Linked DNA regions of Ovis aries. The protein of the gene in region 1 purifies or fractionates together with the protein of each later gene. This does not show direct contact. Links are inferred from orthologs where the notes say so. Each region holds a gene or a part of one and is shown in the gene's direction. Other genes may lie near its edges.

Evidence for each region. Proteins that work in one complex are often made in the same cells at the same time.
Region 2: the proteins of TGOLN2 (region 1) and GALNT2 purify together in Homo sapiens (affinity purification with mass spectrometry; 3 studies listed by BioGRID and IntAct, counting the BioPlex papers as one, with this or other methods). This does not show direct contact. The link is inferred for Ovis aries from reciprocal best matches to the Homo sapiens genes TGOLN2 and GALNT2.

Annotation. Positions count from the first base shown.
Region 1 is NC_056056.1:57,188,602-57,193,311, forward strand, and holds the start of TGOLN2 (trans-Golgi network integral membrane protein 2), read left to right. Parts: upstream 1-1,506; 5' UTR 1,507-1,536; coding exon 1,537-1,582; intron 1,583-1,825; coding exon 1,826-2,697; intron 2,698-4,689; coding exon 4,690-4,710. UniProt on the Homo sapiens protein: May be involved in regulating membrane traffic to and from trans-Golgi network.
Region 2 is NC_056078.1:1,811,682-1,815,795, forward strand, and holds part of GALNT2 (polypeptide N-acetylgalactosaminyltransferase 2), read left to right. Parts: intron 1-3,105; coding exon 3,106-3,198; intron 3,199-3,638; coding exon 3,639-3,722; intron 3,723-4,114. UniProt on the Homo sapiens protein: Catalyzes the initial reaction in O-linked oligosaccharide biosynthesis, the transfer of an N-acetyl-D-galactosamine residue to a serine or threonine residue on the protein receptor.

The DNA of each region.
Region 1 (4,710 bases):
ATGTTTCCAGCTACCTCTCTGTTATTTCTACTTGACTGTCTCACAGGCAAGAATAAATTCACTTTTAGTGCCCCAATCGTATTAAATCTGGTTTTCCACATCTTCCTCACATCACACCTCCCTCCCATAGCCAATCTATCTCCAAGGCCTGTTGGTATTTCCTCCCAAATTTATATTGAGCCCAACCACTTCCCTCTATTCTCACCATACCTATGCTAGTCCTTCTAGGACTACTGCAACAGCCTCCTAAATGTTTAACTCCTAAACACACTATTTTCTTCCCATAGCCTGTATGAACACAACAGAAATCTTAAACAGCATGATACAAAACGATATATCCAATAATTGCAATTTGGGAGAAAATGATTATAGAATAAAAGACGGTGAAAACACACTACTTAAGAAACAGGGGGCGGGAGTATATTTATATTTATCCTAATTGTATTTGTTTTAAAAAATCACTGAATAGGAACTTGTGGAGGAGGGCTAGAGAGCAAAAACATTCTATTATCTATTATTCGCTGCTCAGGCTTCCTCTTGCTGCAGAGAACAGGGGCTTCTCATTGTCACAACTTCTCTTGTTGCGCTGGCTCTAGGTCACTGGCTTCAGTAGTTGCGGCCCACCGGCTTAGTTGCCCCATGGGACCAAGGATGACTCATGTCCTCTTCATTCGCAGGTGGATTCTTAACCACTGAACCACAAGAGAAATCCCACAAGAACTTTTTGAGGTTTTTCATTTAAAGATAATTGCTTCAGTAACTTTCTAATGTGAACTTTTCGAAAAATAAATCCCATTTTTTTAACCGTTAGATTATATTACCTAATCAAATATATCGTTTGCAAGACAAAAATACACTAAAACGTTGATAGTCACTACTCTGGAAGCGTGAGGCAGAGATTCTGTTTTCTACTTGTACACATTCAGTGAATTTTCTAGCGTGAATGAGTAATTTACACGATCAGAAAACAGATGAACTTTTTAGAAAAGATCTTTGACACCGTTTCCGTCGGGGGTCAAAAGAGCGAGCAGGGTTGCGAAGGCTCCCGCTACAAAGGTGACAGGGTGGGTGTCTGTTTCCAGATTTCCACACGTCTGTGCGCTGCAGGGAAAGAACCATGAGGGAGGGAGAAGGCAGAAAGGCAGGCAGAGGATAGGAGCGAGCAAGCACCAGGCCCCAACGACTTCACTCCCGTGGTTACGTCCGTGGGCCAGGGAGCGCCTGCTTCGCCAGTATTGTCTCGTAAATATGACAGCAAAGAAGGAAAGGGGGACTAAGTTTGTAGCGGCCGCTGCGGAGCTACGAAAGCAGGAAAAGACAAATACGCCTTCTACACGCAATACAGCCCCGCCACCAGCAAAAGCAGTCACACCTCGGGGGAAACAACTGAACACCAGCTTGCCGGGCTTCTTCCAATCCCTGCCCCTTGCCTGGGTGTGGCTGCGGCGACGCACACAGGAAGGGGCGGGACATAACACTAAGCCCGCGTGCTGATCTCGCGAGAGCATTAGGGGGCGGAAGCACAGTCGGTGCAGGATGCGGTTCCTGGTTGCGTTCGTGTTACTGAGCGTCGCGGCAGCGGGTAAGAATTCCCCCCCGCCCCCACCCCACCGCAGTCCCAAGACCAGCCCCCGGTAATCCCACTGTCGCCCCGGGGCCCGTCGTCTTCACCGTGGCCTGTCAGCCCCTGACCTCACTCTTCCTTGCCCGAACCTCGCCACCGCTCCGCTCGCCAGCACTCCCCTCCCTTTTGCCCGTTGCAACGTTCTGAGGAGTTCTTTCTCCCCGACTGCCTCTCTTCAGCCAGATAGTTTCTCTGTTTCAGACTCGCAGCTCAATTCTGCTCCAGGCGCCGGAACAACCGCTCAGAAGGAAGATCAGGCTTCTGCAGGAAGCTCCAGGCAGCAGGTCTTGATCGCTCAGTCTAGGCTAGAACACAGTAACCAAACCTTTCTAAATCAGACCGACGCGAAAACCGACCCTGGCAATTCGGGAGCCACGCAGCGCCCCGCGAAAACCGACCCTGACCATTCGGGAACTGAGCAGCGCCCGACGGAAAGCGGCCCTGACAGTTCGGGAGCCGAGCACCGCCCCGCGGAAACCCACTCCGATAATTCGGGAACCGAGCAGCAGCGCCCGACGGAAAGCGGCCCTGACAATTCGGGAGCCGAGCACCGCCCCGCGGAAACCCACTCCGATAATTCAGGAGCCGAGCAGCGCCCCGAGAAAGCCGACCCTGGCAGTTCCCCCAGAGACCAGTCCAACAAGTTGGTCTCCAGCCCCTCTTCTGATAACAAGGAGTCCACCAAGGTTCATGTAAACACAGTCGCTGGCAAAGCTCTGCAGACTTCCAGAACTGAACCTGGGGGGAAAGTGTTGGCAGACCCCTCTTCTCCCCAGCGGGAGGGAGGAGGTAAGCCTTTAGAATTAACTGAAGATGTGGAGCCCAAGGAGACTGAAGAAGGGGATGCAGAGCCAGAGGAAGACGCACCACCCAAAGAAGGGAAAGAAATGGTTGGCCCTGCCTCCAGAGAGAACCGTGAAGGGACACTTTCGAATACCTGGAGTAAGAAGGATGACCTTTATAAGGATAACCTTGGAAATGCCAATGCAGAGAGCAGCCACTTTTTTGCATATCTGGTGACAGCAGCCATTCTCGTCGCTGCCCTCTATATCGCCTACCACAATAAGCGGAAGGTAAGGCAAGAATGGCCTTAAGAGGAGGAGTGGGATTTCCTCCTCTCAGAAAGCCTGATGTGTGAGTATCCATCACTCATCAGCCTGTAAGCCCTGGGAATTTAAGAAACAAACTTCCTGTTTTTTTTCCTGAGATCCTGCCAGGATTCTCTATTGGGTTTTCTAGGTTCTTTTTTTTCCTCCCTTTGTCTTAGAAATCATTTGTTTTCACATCTGTTTCCTCTGCCCTCTGCTGTTGCGTCAAGTGTGAAGCTTAGGACATTATTATGATTTGACCCAAATGAAGGTCTCCTCCCATAATCTTGGAACTTAGAATCTTTCACATCCTGAGAGAGGACCTGAGGACCTGACAGTTTGTATGTAGTTAAAGCAGTGATCTTCCTGTCTTCTAATTTCTAGCTTCCTCTCCCAAGCATTTGTCTTCCATCTGCAGGAACAGAAAGAATGGTTACAGAGTCTTCAAGACCAGCAGCAGAGCGCCCAGGGGTCTATGTTCTGCAGCTGAGTTTCTGATTAGAAGAAAGGCCAGAAATTGCATGAATACACTCATCTTTTACTTCAGCAGGGTTTGTTGTGTTGCTTAGTAACCACTCCCCAACGACAAAATAATTGCATTTCTTTTTTTGTTTTTAACTGAAATATAAAAAAACATGATGTGTAGTTGATTTACAATGTTGTGTTAGGTGTACAGCACAGTGATTCCGTTTTTTATATATATATTCATTTTCAGATTCTTCCCCAAATGATTGCATTTCTTATGAGCCCTAAGAATTTAGTAGTTTGTAATAGTCTGACTAAAATTGAAGGGTTCAATTCATGATAGTCAAAAGGCCTAGGGCTGTGAGAAATGAGAGAAGACATTTAGTAAAAGTGGTACATTCCTGGGAATTCCCTGACAGTTATGGGGTTAAGACTCCATGCTTTCACTGCAGGGGCCACAGGTTTGATCTCTGATTGAGGTTCTAAGATCCCCAATGCCACATGAATGTGGCCTTGAAAAAAAATTTTTTTAAGGTACATTCCTTATTCTACATCCAAGTGCTTATCATGGAGAGTAACCTTAAGTATGAAATGAGAGTGGTCAGGTTCAGATGAAATAAAGTGTGGGGTGAAAGAGTACATTTGCAGATTAGAAGTAATTATTGCTTAATACTAAGATAAAAGGAGGGGGACTTGCTTAGCCTGGAGGAGTCTCAGCTGGGGAGGAGTTGGCAGTTCTTTTCACTGTGTTGTTGTTCAGTCACCAAGTCCCGTCTGATTCTTTGTACCCCAAGGACTGCAGCATGTCAGGCTTCCCTATCCTTCACAATCTCTTAGAGTTTGCTCAAACTCATGTCCATTGAGTTGATGATCCCATCCAGCCATTTCATCCTCTGTCACCCCCTTCTCCTCCTGCCCTCAATCTTTCCCAGCATCAAGGTCTTTTCCAGTGAGTTGGCTTTTTGCATCAGGTGGCCAAAGTATTGGAGCTTCAGCTTCAGCGCCAGTCCTTCCTGTGAATATTCAGGGTTGATTTTCCTTAGGATTGACTGGCTCACTCTTGGAGTCCAAAGGACTCTCAAGAGTCTTCTCCAGCACCACAGTTCAAAAGCATTGATTCTTCAGCACTCAGCTGCCTTTATGGTCCAACTCTCACATCCATACATGACTACTGGAAAACCATAGCTTTGACTATACAGATCTTTGTCAGCTGAGTGATGTTTCTGCTTTTAAATAGGCTGAGTTCTCTTGAGTAAATCACACAGACTTCAGCTGGCTAGAGCCTAGAACAGCTGTCCTGCACCTGTCATTTCCTGTTTAGGATAAAGGGTTCTGATATAACTAGGCCCTGTCTTCCTTACAATTGTCAATAGGGCCTTTCTGTGAATGGTCTGCTCTTTTGCTGTCAAGATCATTAACAAATGAGCCGCCAGATGATTACCTCTAATTTCAGAGACTGAAATCTGTCACCATAAAGTCACTTGTTAATCACTCTTTTGTCCTTTGCCCCAGATTATAGCTTTCGTCCTGGAA
Region 2 (4,114 bases), on another chromosome or scaffold:
TCAGAATTTTCCACTATTTATTGTGATCCACACATTTAAAGGCTTTGGCATAGTCAATAAAGCAGAAATAGATGTTTTTTTGGAACTCTCTTGCTTTTTTGATGATCCAGTGGATGTTGGCAATTTGATCTTTGGTTCCTCTGCCTTTTCTAAAACCAGCTTAAACATCTGGAAGTTCACGGTTCAAGTATTGCTGAAGCCTGACTTGGAGAATTTTGAGCATTACTTTACTAGCATGGGAGATGAGTGCAATTGTACGGTAGTTTGAGCATTCTTTGGCATTGCCTTTCTTTGGGATTGGAATGAAAACTGACCTTTTCCAGTCCTGTGGCCATGACTGAGTTTTCCAAATTTGCTGACATATTGAATGCAGCACTTTCACAGCATCATCTTTTAGGATTTCAAATAGGTCAACTGGAATTCCATCAGCTCCACTAGCTTTGTTCATAGTGATGCTTCCTAAGGCCCACTTCACTTCACATTCCAGGATGTCTGGCTCTAGGTGAGTGATCACACCATCATGATTCACTGGGTTGTGAAGATCTTTTTTGTACAGTTCTGTGTATTCTTGCCAAACAGGAGATGGCAAGAGTGAACATCAACATTCTAGGAATGGACTGGAATGTGTGAATTTAACTCAGATGACCCTTATATCTACTACTGTGGGCAAGAATCCCTTAGAAGAAATGGAATAGCTATCATAGGCAACAAAGAGTCTGAAATGCAGTATTTGGATGCAATCTCAAAAACGACAGAATGATCTACGTTCGTTTCCAGGGCAAACCATTCAATATCACGATAATCCAAGTCTATGTCCCGACCAGTGATGCTGAAGGAGCTGAAGTTGACAGTTCTGTGAAGACCTATAAGACCTTCTAGAACTAACACTGGAAAAAGATGTCCTTTTCATTATAGGGGACTGGAATGCAAAAGTAGGAAGTCAAGAAACACCTGGAGTAACAGGTAAATTTGGCCTTGGAATGCAGAATGAAGCAGGGCAAAGACTAATAAAGTTTTGCCAAGAGAACTCACTGGTCATAACAAACAGCCTCTTCCAACAACACAAGAGAAGACTCTACACACATGGACATCACCAGACGGTCAACACCGAAATCAGATTGATTCTATTCTTTGCGGCCAAAGATGGAGAAGCTCTCTACAGTCAGCAAAAACAAGACCAGCAGCTGACTGTGACTCAGATCATGAACTCCTTATTGCCAAATTCAGACTTAAATTGAAGAAAGTAGGGAAAACCACTAGACCATTCAGGTATGACCTAAATCAAATCCCTTATGATTATACAGTGGAAGTGACAAATAGATGTAAGGGACTGCATCTGATACACAGAGTGCCTGATAAACTATGGACAGAGGTTCGTGACATGGTACAGGAGACAGGGATCAAGAACATCCCCAAGAAAAAGAAATGCAAAAAAGCAAAATGGCTGCCTGAGGAGGTCTTACAAATAGCTGTGAAAAGAAGAAAAGCAAAAGCAAAGGAGAAAAGGAAAGATATACCCATTTGAATGCAGAGTTCCAAAGAATAGCAAGGAGAGAGAAGAAAGCCTTCCTCCGCAATCAATGCGAAGAAATAGAGGAAAACAATAGAATGGGAAAGACTAGAGAGATCTCTTCAAGACAATTAGAGATACCAAGGGAACTTTTCATGCAAAGATGGGCTCAATAAAGGACAGAAATGGTATGGATCTGATAGAAGAGGTGCCAAGAAGGATATAGGCCCCAAACAAATTATTTTATTAATTGTAACTCAGATGATTTGAAGGCTCCCCACTTATAGCTCAGTTGGTAAAGAATCCATCTGCAGTACAGGAGACCCCAGTTCGATTCCTGGGTCTGGAAGATCCCCTGGAGAAGGGATAGGCTACCCACTCCAGTATTCATGGCCTTCCCTTGTGGCTCAACTGGTAAAGAATCTGCCTGTAATGTGGAGACCTGAGTTTGATCCCTGGGTTGGGAAGATCCCCTGGAGAACGGAAAGGCTACCCACTCCAGTATTCTTGCCTGGAGAATTCCATGGACTGTGTAGTCCATGGGGTCCGTAAGAGTCAGACATGACTGAGCAACTTTCCCTTTCTTTCACTTTCCATTTTAAAAAGACCTTTCTAATAGGGGAACAATACGTATTCTTGTAGAATATGAATATTGTCTCCCTAATGTGTTTATCTTAGAAGCATGGAATGCCTTTATATGGGTTCTGAAAGAGAACGGTCTCTCAGCCCAAAATGTGAGTGTGCTTTGGAGCAGAGTCCAGGGATACTGGAGAAGAGACGCTCACTGCCTTAGTGCTACTCCGCAGATGCTCTAAGGAGAACGCTGGCAGAAGATGCTGGTGCCGGGCATGTGGCGGCCTTTAGTACATATCTTACATTCCAAGGTAGCTTGTCCCACTGGCCTTATTGATCATAGGTTGTTTCTCTCCGTGATTGTGAGATGTCAGTGTGGGGTCTTCTGGCCTTCTAGAGAAGCCTGTTCTGCACAGGAGAGTAGGAACCCCAAATGTGGGGCGTATACTACTGTCCCTCACTATTTCTGGTCCAAACAGGGTGCTCTCAGCTCAGCTCTGCCCGAAGTAATTTAATAGTAACTGTGATTTGCTCTCAACTTTCCCAGAGCTGTTTGGTCATAGCTCTCCATCACAGGCATGATGAGAAGGCCAGAGAGAGGAGGTCAAGGATTCTTGCTTTTGCTCCTGGACACCAGCCTTCTGGGCTACACAACAAGAGTTACTAAGAGCTACTGAGAGAGATCCTCTTCAGCCCTTCTTGGTGGTACAGCCACGTCCCTGTTTTAAAATACCTCCCTGTGCAGTCATTCTAACTTTGACTTTTGCTCTTTGACAATCTGTGTTCAAAGAGAGATGAGGAGGTTGTATTTGTTATTCAGTGATACCTGCTGAATACCAGCCACCCGGAGGCACCTAGGGGTGGGGGACAGCCTGCTCCCTGATCCATGTGGGCCCCTATCAGGCCGCCAGCCCCCCAGAAGCCTGACCCTGAAGCCTCCGCAGCACTTGCTCAGTGCAGGCCAAGCAGCGCCGATGGAAAGAAGGCAGCTCACGGCTCAAGGAGACTTGTTTCGTTTCTAGTAACACCCGCCGGGCAGCAGAGGTCTGGATGGACGAATACAAGAACTTCTACTACGCAGCAGTGCCTTCTGCCAGAAACGTCCCTTACGGAAAGTGAGTGTGGCCCATGGCCTCTCGCTGTTTTGCTTCTTGGGATCGTGTGTGTGTCTGTGTGCGTGTGTGTGCGTGTGTGTGTGTGCGTGCGTGCGTGTGTGTGTGTGCGTGTGCGCGCGCGTGTGTGCGTGCGTGTGTGCGTGCGTGCGTGCGTGCGTGTGTGTGCGCGCGTGTGTGTGTGCGTGTGTGCCTGCGTGTGTGTGCCTGCGTGCGTGCGTGCGTGCCGTAAGCCGATCAGGTGTCAAAGAGGGGACTCTGCTCAAGGGTCGCGAGGGCCCTCTCGGGAAGCACGGCGGGACAGAGGAGTCCAAACAGCAGTGTGGATGGTCCAGTCCCCACTGCCTGCCCCAGCTCTTTTTCTCATCGGCAGATTTCCAGGTTTGATGTAGAGCCCATCTGTTTTTTAAATTTATCTTAAAGAATCTTGTCTCCTTCTCCAGTATTCAGAGCCGACTGGAGCTCAGGAAGAAACTTAACTGCAAGCCTTTCAAATGGTACCTGGAAAATGTCTACCCAGAGCTAAGGTGAGGCCCTGGGGCCGGGTTCCGCTTCAGAAGGACTCGGAGGCAGCCAGCGCCCACCGGGTGCAGGGCCTGGAGGTGGAAGGAAGGTCGTGTTAGGGGGAGAGGCCAGGAGCTGTGCCCCGCCGCTGTCCTCAGGCTCCCCAAGGGGGTGCCCTTGTCCCCAGCCCGCAGGCTCCCCCTGCCTGGGACTCCCCCTTGAGGCTCCTTTGCCCCCTGCAGTTGTGTAGGGACTGAGACCAAGGCTTGGCCAGCAGGGGAGAGCGCCCAGCAGAGGCTCAGATAACCACACTGGCCTGTTTTAATGCCTGCCCACTCGCATCCTGAGGCACAGCAGGAGGCCTATGGGTCTGTGGGCTTCAGGCTGCTCTGGACTTCATCTTCTTAGAAGAGTC